2 linked regions of the Drosophila melanogaster genome follow. The protein of the gene in region 2 interacts with the protein of the main gene of each other region in a pairwise test. Each region holds a gene or a part of one and is shown on either strand. Other genes may lie near its edges.

Region 1 (4,588 bases), on a different chromosome or scaffold from region 2:
CCAGCCGGAGTCTACCATCGTGGTCGTCGGCACCGTCACCGACGATGCCCGCCTCCTGGTGGTGCCCAAGCTCACCGTGTGCGCCCTGCACGTCACGCAGACCGCCAGGGAGCGCATCCTGAAGGCCGGCGGTGAGGTCCTGACCTTCGATCAACTGGCTCTCCGATCGCCCACCGGCAAGAACACGCTGCTGCTGCAGGGCAGGCGTACCGCCCGCACCGCCTGCAAGCACTTCGGCAAGGCTCCCGGTGTGCCCCACTCGCACACCCGCCCCTATGTCCGCTCTAAGGGACGCAAGTTCGAGCGTGCTCGTGGTCGTCGCTCCAGCTGCGGCTACAAGAAGTAAGCGACTGGCTGACTGGACTGGATTCGGCATCCTTTTGGTTAAGATAATGATTTTTCTCGCCATCGCACGGCAATAAAAGAGTTTTATTCCAAAAGGTGAAAAAGAAAGTCCTTAATCTGTGCGGTAATCGGTTGTACTAGTGAAGGTGTGTGCTCCAGTAGTTAATAATCGGCTGATCGTGCGGCTGCACGCCAAGCACCTTCTTAAGTTTGCCCTGCACGCTGGTGGATTTGGCATGGTTGAGGCAGGTCACTTTGCTGTAGATGGAATTCAATTGAGTTCGGATCTGTGCAGCAAAATAGGACGGCTACTCACTTTTTCCACTCTTCGATGAGCACCTTGGTCTGCTTGTTCAGCACGAGTTCTGTGAAGTTTTTCTCCTCCACCGCCTTTAAAAGTTTCACCATAAGATCTGGCACTAAAGTGGGAGAATCAATAGAATCAATATCAATATCCCCGACTCGTTTTTATCAGTGAAAGCGGGAACGGATTGGATGTGAAGCTTACATTTTCGTGGCAGCTCTCCTGGCCATTTGACCGACACCTCGTGTCCGTTGACGTGTTTGTCCAGAAAATCGATCCGATAAACGGAGCTACTGGCCATTGGCACGGCTATGTCATTGGACACGGATATGATTTTGTACTCGGAGCTGATGGAGTGTTGATGTTGGGCATCGATTCGCATTAGATTGTGCATGGGCTCGGGCAGGAGTTTCTTCAGGCAGACCATGAAACGGAAGGTCTTTCTGGGATCACCTCTGACCACAATCTTCACCCCAGTCAAGGCACAATAGCAGACCGTGGCAAACTCCTCCTTGCGGACGACACTCTTGAGATGGCGCAACGAGAAGAACTCCTCCAGATCGGGATCGTCGATGCTCTCTATCATTGGCAGTGTGGAACTGTTGTAGGTGAGTCGCTGTGCGGGAGGACGGCCACTACTTTGTGGCGGTAGCCACGGTAGGTTGCCGAAGGTCACGTGCTCGGTGAGGAAGCGGGATCCGGCTAGCAGGAGCCACGAGAAGTGTGAGTGCAACTGGGCGAAGATGTGCTCCTCGCCTGTTAGCTCCAGCAAGGCACGGGAAGTGGGCATCAGGAACTGAGCGCCGGACAGACGCCTCTGTCGCTCTGAGTACGTCTGCTCCTCCGTCTCCTTGGTCTTTTTGGCAGCTGCCTGCAGCTCCGACGACACCTTCTTCAGGTGCTCCGCCAGAAAGGGCTTGATGTTAAGCAGGAAATACTTGTCCTTCATCAGCACAATGATGGAGAACAGCTGCGAGTAGCCGCGGGCCTGCAGGTCGCTCACTCGGAAGGTGTGACTCAGGATGTGACCCCTGGACGAATCGCCAAAGAACACGAACTCGCCATCCTTGCTGGCATCCGTACCATTGCTCAGACTGAGCACCGCCGCCTGCTTGACCAGACTGGCCACCTCCGGCAGCACCGCCACCTTGGTGCTGACGAATGTGGCCCCGCTTTCCGTGTCCCTGCTGTAGATCGCATTGTTATTCTTGCCCATGGAGTAATTGCAGGCGGAGCAGGTCTTTTGCGTCTGCTGTTCCAGTGACAGGTCCTCCAGCTTGGTGTCCCTCAGTGTCTGGGTGCAGAAGATGGCGCAGGGACCGTGCGCCTCGCAAAAGTGGCACAGCGCTATCACGGCGTTCATCGCTGCTCTACAGTTTCCTTTATATCCTTGGTTATGTTATTGTTTATTTTGTTAGTTAATAATACTAGAGTGACCAGTTGCGTACATTCACTGAAATACCAGAAATGGCGGTAAGAACATAGAAAACATTGCAGGGATTTCTTAAGCGATATTTTAAATTTTGCGGGAATATACATTTTATTCTTGTTTTGTATATGTAAAATATAAATACTAAACTATAAATCAATGTGCTATGACGACATAATATTAAATAAATACACATGACAATAAATTCCTTATGTTAATAGAAGTTCAAATTAAGAAAGAATTTTTGAATTGTGTTTTTAAGATATGTAGAAATGTATCTGTAATTATTTACCCAATTAATTATGCAGAACGAAAATGTAAAGCAGATCTGGATGTCTTTATAACCCAATTTGGATGCTAATTGCTTGAGTCCATAATGCTTTAATTTTCAGCATCACAAATGGGTATCGATTCCAGTGAGTTTCATTCTCGAAAGTTATTGTGCCACCTACAGACGTTTTTCCACACAATGCAACTGGTTTCTTGGATATATTTATTGGCCTGTTCATTACCTGTGGTTAGGAGTGCGTATATGTTAGTAGCTGCTCCAGTTGGCCAAAATATTACGGAGTATATGCATGCGCGCCAGAAGAGGCATCAGTTGATCTACCGGAATGGAGGAACCATCCGTTTGGTAGTGGGTCCCGTGCTGTCCACTCAGCTCGAGGATCCCGTGGTCTGGCGCAGTTTGGTCTACTACTATGTGCTGCATTTCGGGGCATTTACCCTGCCATCGGCACCACTATATCCCTGGGACAAATGGGAGACGATATATGCGCGTTCGTTGCAGGAGAAGATCAGGAGCTTGGATGAGACGCACGAGGACGACACTCGCCTGTTCGTATATGCCGCCTTGGAGAACTATATGGACCAAGTGAGTGGATCTCCTGGTCGAGGTCGTCACTGTTTGCTGCGAGGGATCTGTGAAAATGCGCAGGTGCATCACCATGTGGGCATCATGGCGGAGCTACTAGTCGTTCTACTCACGTAAGTTGCAGTTTTAGAATGCTATTACTTGAATGGAAGAATTATAAATCTATATAAACTTAATAGACCTGGTAAAACGCGCTTGGATGTGGCCTACAAGGAGGCTTTAGCAGCTGGCCAGGCTGGAATCGATTGCCTAGCTCGCTATTCGGATTGTCCAAGGGGTGAAAGTGTGCTGGATGCATATGCTCTGGATGTGGAGTATTGAAAAGGGTTTTTTTTTAAACTGATGTTACGACTTGAATAAATCAAGTTAATTCAATGATTACCACTGATAGTGCTTTTCAGTAAGATCAACTGGAATCACTGTCAACTTTCGAGTATATCTGCTCACATGAACAATCTAGTTACTCCGTTGAATTTTTAACACTAATTGCAAGTGATTTGCGCCCTTGTCGTCGCCACGCCCCCTTTAACTCCACCGACTGGAGGATGTCGCCTTTGGTAAACCAGAAACACGAGTGCATCCATGCCAACATCCTACCCCAGAATCTAGGCGAAAAATGCGTTAACATTAATGGCTTGTGGCTGGTGCAAGTTGGGCTTGGAAAGCGGTGCAGCGAAAGCCAACACACGACCGCCATTTTGTCAACAATGGCGTCAATTAAATGGAAAATGCGGCACCACCAACAGCCGCCGCGCGGCAAGAACGCCGGCAGCAGCAACGAAAGACAATAAATGCGTCTTAAGTGGCACATTAGGCTCGCAGACGGTGCCAAGCGGATGGAATGGGCTTTCCAACAGGGTGCAGCAGATACTATTTTAGTCAGAGATTTCCCTAGAATAACTAACTAATTTTGAATCGTTGAATTCAAAGAAATAAATAAAAGTATATTAAGTTATATTTTTACTTTGTCTACTTCGATAGTATGTTAAATATTACTTTTTTATTCCTATCACATAAAAATATAATTTCCATTCTAGTATAAATATATATAAAAATATAAATTTAGCTTCAAATATATTTTAATGAATGTTCTCTATTGTGACGAATGAAATGATATAAATATTTGTATATATAGGTGGAATAAAGTAAATCTGTGAATCGTATTTGTACATTATAAATTCATATCTTCGTTTATTTTATTTGTCTTATCAATTATTAATTTTACTATTATTCATTTATGCACCCTGTTCAGAATCCTCAGCTGCGCCTCGTGTGCACAGCTAATTCAAATGCGATTATGACAACGCGAACAACGAAGGAGCTAAGCGGCGTAGAAGGCGAGGGGAGTGCGGTGAAAGCGGAGAAAGTGGGGCGAAGGAACCTGCCAGAGTGCAGTTGGCGCAGCAAAGAAGTGGGGGGGGAGGAAGGTAGGGGAAGGGGGCGGTGGCTTGGGGGGAATGCCTGCACAACTTTGCGGTGTTTGAACTTGTGATGGTGCAGTGGAATAGGTAACTAATGTCTGCGGCTGTCATGTTTATGCGGCAGCCATATCGTAAATTCAAAAATATCAACTAAATATTAAGAAAACAAAGCGGGAAAATAATTTAAAGTAAGCTTAAATAACTACAAAATGATC
Region 2 (4,588 bases):
CAGCTGGAGCAGATCCTTAAGAGCAACAAGACCAAGGAGCGAAAGAAGGAGGATTTCCTGAAGCGCAAGCAGGAACTGTACTACAACATGCTGACCAAGCTGGAGCGCCAGTGCCGCACCCAGTACCTGAACGTGCTCATCAAGAAGTTCGCCAAATTCATTTCCCATCTGGCCACAACGATGCGCATTCCGCCGCAGCTGGTGGATCCGTATGCGCGCATGCAGCGCGGCATCTTCTGCAACATCCTGTTGGCCATTGGTGTGCAGCCCACCTCACAGTCGGCCATCTACTACACCAGCCAGGATGCCATCGAGTACGATGTGTGCCATCGCCTCGCGCACGCGCTGCTCAGTTTGATCATTAAGGCGCTGGACTCGGCAGCCACAAGGGATCCCAACGAGCTGGCCAAGCCGGCCGACTTGGACTTCGAGATGGACAATCACATCAAGCGTCGGCTCATGTGCGCCGCCGAGAAGAAGCTGCTGTACGAGCGCCGTCGCAAGAAGCCCCAGCCGCAGGGTCTTGGAGCCTTTGAGAAGTGCACCCGCTATGACTGCGACTAGGACGGCTCCTTCAGTGTATTCGTGTTAACATTTGGCTACTATTTATTCGCATAAGAAGTCTTGCTCACATGGTCACCTCGTTGTTTTGGTCTTGGTTTTGGTGGCGGGTATCGTCTGCTCCTTCATCTGGATGCACAGCCAGTTGGCGGGCACCTCGAAGCTGTCTGTGGGATGCGGCGTGTACTGCGCGCAGTAGGGCACATGCCAGGTGTCCGCCACTTGGTGGGCACACAGCCGATGACGAACGGGCTCCTTGACTATAATCTGACCCGTTTGCGTTTGGGTGACCAGGGAGAACTGGTGCTCCTGCTGCCAGCGACGAAAGATGGGCTTCAGCTCGGTGCCCAGATGAAAGGCGTGACTGCGCATCAGGTCGCGGGAGAAGAAGTCTGTCTCCTGGCCGCTGCGCAGCGTGGCATACAGCAGGAAGGGATCATCGTGCGACCTATAAGCAAACGAACGAACGAATTAGTCTACCTATCCCTTTCCAATTCGAGATGAATTCCCTTACAGATTGCTGGTCAAGAAGAGGCTGGCATTGCAGTGCACATAGTGCATGGCCTGCTTGGACCAGTTGCGCATGTGCTCGCGTCCCAGGACGAGGACACGCTTGTCCTGTTCCCGGAAATGACGCACCACCGTAGCCACTAGCTTGGCCAGCTGCTGCGGCGTCTTTTTGGTGCCCGTAGAGTAGGCCACATTGAGGCCATCGATCACACAGTCGTATGGCGCCGTCTTTTCGACAAACTTCTTGAACCTGGCCACCTCCTCGGGCGTGGAGCGCTGGAAGACGTCTCGTCGTATGAGCACGCGCTCCAGAAAACATTCGCTTAGCTGCCGGAACTCCTCATCGCTGATGGCCACCGGCTGGAGGTGCTGCTGGCAGGACTGGCACTTGCCCAGACCTCCCAAATGGGTGGTCCTGGTGTGCAACAGTTGGGGCACCTGGCTGGACAGCTCCTGCAATCGTATCGCCACCCGCTGGCTGACTAGAATCTCATGGCGTTCGAGGAATTGCAACAAAAGGCTAAGCTGTGCAGGAAGTTGTGCCGTTTCGTTGGCCAGTCGATTGAGCAGCGCCAGATAGACCTCGCATTTGGGCGGCTTCCGTGCCGTGGCCATCTCTTCCAGTAGGCGCCAGGCCAATTCCTGCTCCGGTGTCGCCACACTGAAGGCCTTCTCCGCCAGCGCGGAGTAGGCGGCCACACTGGGCGTACTGGTGACCTTCATCATCTCGAGCAGCGGCAGTCCGCGCTGCCAATCATCGCCGCTGGTGGCCACCAGTCCATGAATCACATTCTCGCAGCTGCTGGCGTCCAGAGTTTCGTGCTCCGCCTGCAATGATCGGCAGATCTGCAGTATCTCCGACTGTTCCGCCTCGCTAAGCGGTCGCTCGTGGTAGGCGGCATTGTAGACCCTCAGCAGGCGACCCAGTGTCGCTGCATTCGGTTTGGAGCCCCTGCTCCTCAGGAACTCCACATAGCTTTTGGCCAACGACAATTGGTTGGGTGCACTGCACACGCCCAGAATGACGGCGTCCACGTTGTGCCCGTTGATGTGCTTGTACCCGTCCACGAGCGACCTCCGCACCTCCGTCCACTCCGCGCCACTCAGCTCATGGCGACGCTCGAAGAGATCACTGCGCAGCTGGTCCAGCCGATCGGCCGGCAGGCTGCCCGGCTGCGGGCGCCGCTTGTGCTGGCTAGCCAGCCAGCGCGGATGGGCGTGCCCGGCGATCGGCAGGAGATTTCGTAGCAGGCGTAAATTATACATTAGTTAAATTTAAATTTAGATTAAAATTATTCTCGCTTAACACAATAATTCCAATAAGAATTATGCCGGCTGGCGGTGTGGCCAGTCACACGCTGCACTTAGCCAGTGCACGCACCGCATTTGGTATATGCCAAATGAAATATACCGAAGTAAGTGTACATTTATTGCGTGCCACGTTACGGGCACACTGCATTGCGACAAAAGTTGCAACTCACTACTTTTCTGAATTTAATTTATTTTAAGCGTTGCACAGCCGAAAGTACAGCGTAAATCCTCGAACAAGATGACCGTGACCGCCACACCGATGCCGGACAATCTGCGGGTGAAAGCCTTATCCGAGTACCGAAAGAAGTTGCTAGAGCACAAGGAAATCGAGGGACGCCTCAAAGAAAGTTCGTCTATCCGCTGATCTCCGCCAGCAAATGCGTATTAACCTGGCTATTTTCAGAGCGCGAGGAGATCAAGGATCTGACCAAGCTGTACGACAAGTCGGAGAACGATCTAAAGGCCCTGCAGAGCGTGGGACAGATCGTTGGTGAGGTGCTGAAGCAGCTGACCGAGGATAAATGTGAGAACTCTCCCATATTCTGTCTAAGATTGCCTCTATTCTAACTACTTACTTGCCACACAGTCATTGTGAAGGCCACCAATGGACCCCGCTACGTGGTCGGCTGCCGCCGGCAGCTGGACAAAGCCAAGCTGAAGTCCGGAACTCGTGTGGCCCTCGACATGACCACACTGACCATTATGCGCTACTTGCCGCGCGAGGTGGACCCACTGGTGTACAATATGTCGCACGAGGATCCCGGGGATGTCACCTACTCGGCCATCGGCGGCCTAACCGACCAAATTCGCGAGCTGCGCGAAGTGATCGAGCTGCCCCTACTGAATCCGGAGCTCTTCCTGCGCGTCGGCATCACGCCACCGAAGGGTTGTTTGCTGTACGGACCTCCTGGCACCGGCAAGACCCTGCTGGCCCGTGCAGTGGCCTCCCAGCTGGACGCCAACTTCCTCAAGGTCGTGTCCTCGGCGATTGTCGACAAGTATATTGGCGAGAGTGCGCGTCTCATTCGCGAGATGTTCAACTATGCCCGCGACCATCAGCCCTGCATCATTTTCATGGACGAAATCGACGCTATCGGTGGTCGGCGCTTCTCCGAGGGCACCTCTGCCGATCGCGAGATCCAGCGCACCCTGATGGAGCTGCTCAACCAGATGGACGGCTTCGATTCGCTTGGCCAAGTCAAGATGATCATGGCAACCAATCGTCCGGACACCCTCGATCCTGCCCTTCTGCGTCCGGGTCGCTTGGACAGGAAGATCGAGATTCCGCTGCCCAACGAGCAGGCTAGGTAAGCTATATTCCCACATTGATTGGCTCTTATCTTTGATGTCTTCTTGGTGAAATATGAATAGGGATTTCTCAGATTAGATACTTACATACTTTGTCATACTGATGGTAAAACCCCAACTCCTTTTAGGTTGGAAATTCTCAAGATTCACGCACTGAAGATCGCCAAGCACGGCGAAATCGACTACGAGGCCATTGTCAAGCTGTCGGACAACTTTAATGGCGCTGATCTGCGTAATGTCTGCACGGAGGCGGGTCTCTTTGCCATTCGGTAAGTGCGAAGTTTCCACCGCTTGATAAGCTCCCTAAAATGTAACTATTCTTGCAAATCCAGTGCGGAGCGGGAGTACGTCATCCAGGAGGACTTCATGAAGGCGGTGCGCAAGGTGTCGGACAACAAGAAGTTGGAGAGCAAGCTGGACTACAAGCCCGTCTAGGAGCCAGTGCTCGCCACCGCCCCCCATAGAGATAACCATACACCATTTACACACATATACAGATATATATATATTATGCCCACAACGGGCCTGTCACACAAAGTCCGTTGCTTCTTCTCCATATGCTAATTAAATGCTATGTAAAGATTAGGTTCATTTAATTTCCTTTGGGTATGTGGGCGCCCGGGGATTAGCCGCACTTCTGCTGCTGCTGCTCCTCGATGCGCCGCTTCTTGCGCTCCAAATAGTCGCTAACGTTGTCGAAGCGCTTCTTAAACCAAACGGACAAGTCCTCGGGAATGAATGGCGGTGCGCCCTCCTCGTTGGCACCCAATCCGTCTAGCACCATCTTCAGCCAGCCCTCGGGCACGCCGCTGCTCGCCGGCTGGCCAGTTGCGATGTCGTAGACGCGCAAGCTTAAGCGTTCGTTCTCTGCGCCGGTGATGTAGATCCGGTCGCTGGT

What was found.
Region 1: the proteins of Rpt4 (region 2) and BHD interact in a two-hybrid assay, tested with the Drosophila melanogaster proteins (one study listed by BioGRID).

The regions. Positions count from the first base shown.
Region 1 is NT_037436.4:7,236,059-7,240,646, reverse strand, and holds BHD (Birt-Hogg-Dube), read right to left. Parts: upstream 2,106-4,588; 5' UTR 2,013-2,105; coding exon 854-2,012; intron 765-853; coding exon 662-764; intron 604-661; coding exon 483-603; 3' UTR 402-482; downstream 1-401. Other genes in the region: RpL18 (ribosomal protein L18), read left to right, coding at 1-346; CG14829 (uncharacterized protein), read left to right, coding at 2,548-3,065, 3,132-3,273.
Region 2 is NC_004354.4:6,289,156-6,293,743, reverse strand, and holds Rpt4 (regulatory particle triple-A ATPase 4), read left to right. Parts: upstream 1-2,498; 5' UTR 2,499-2,620; coding exon 2,621-2,729; intron 2,730-2,785; coding exon 2,786-2,905; intron 2,906-2,968; coding exon 2,969-3,689; intron 3,690-3,818; coding exon 3,819-3,959; intron 3,960-4,022; coding exon 4,023-4,125; 3' UTR 4,126-4,274; downstream 4,275-4,588. Other genes in the region: CG15892 (uncharacterized protein), read left to right, coding at 1-564; mldr (mulder), read right to left, coding at 637-1,009, 1,076-2,337; wuho, read right to left, coding at 4,316-4,588.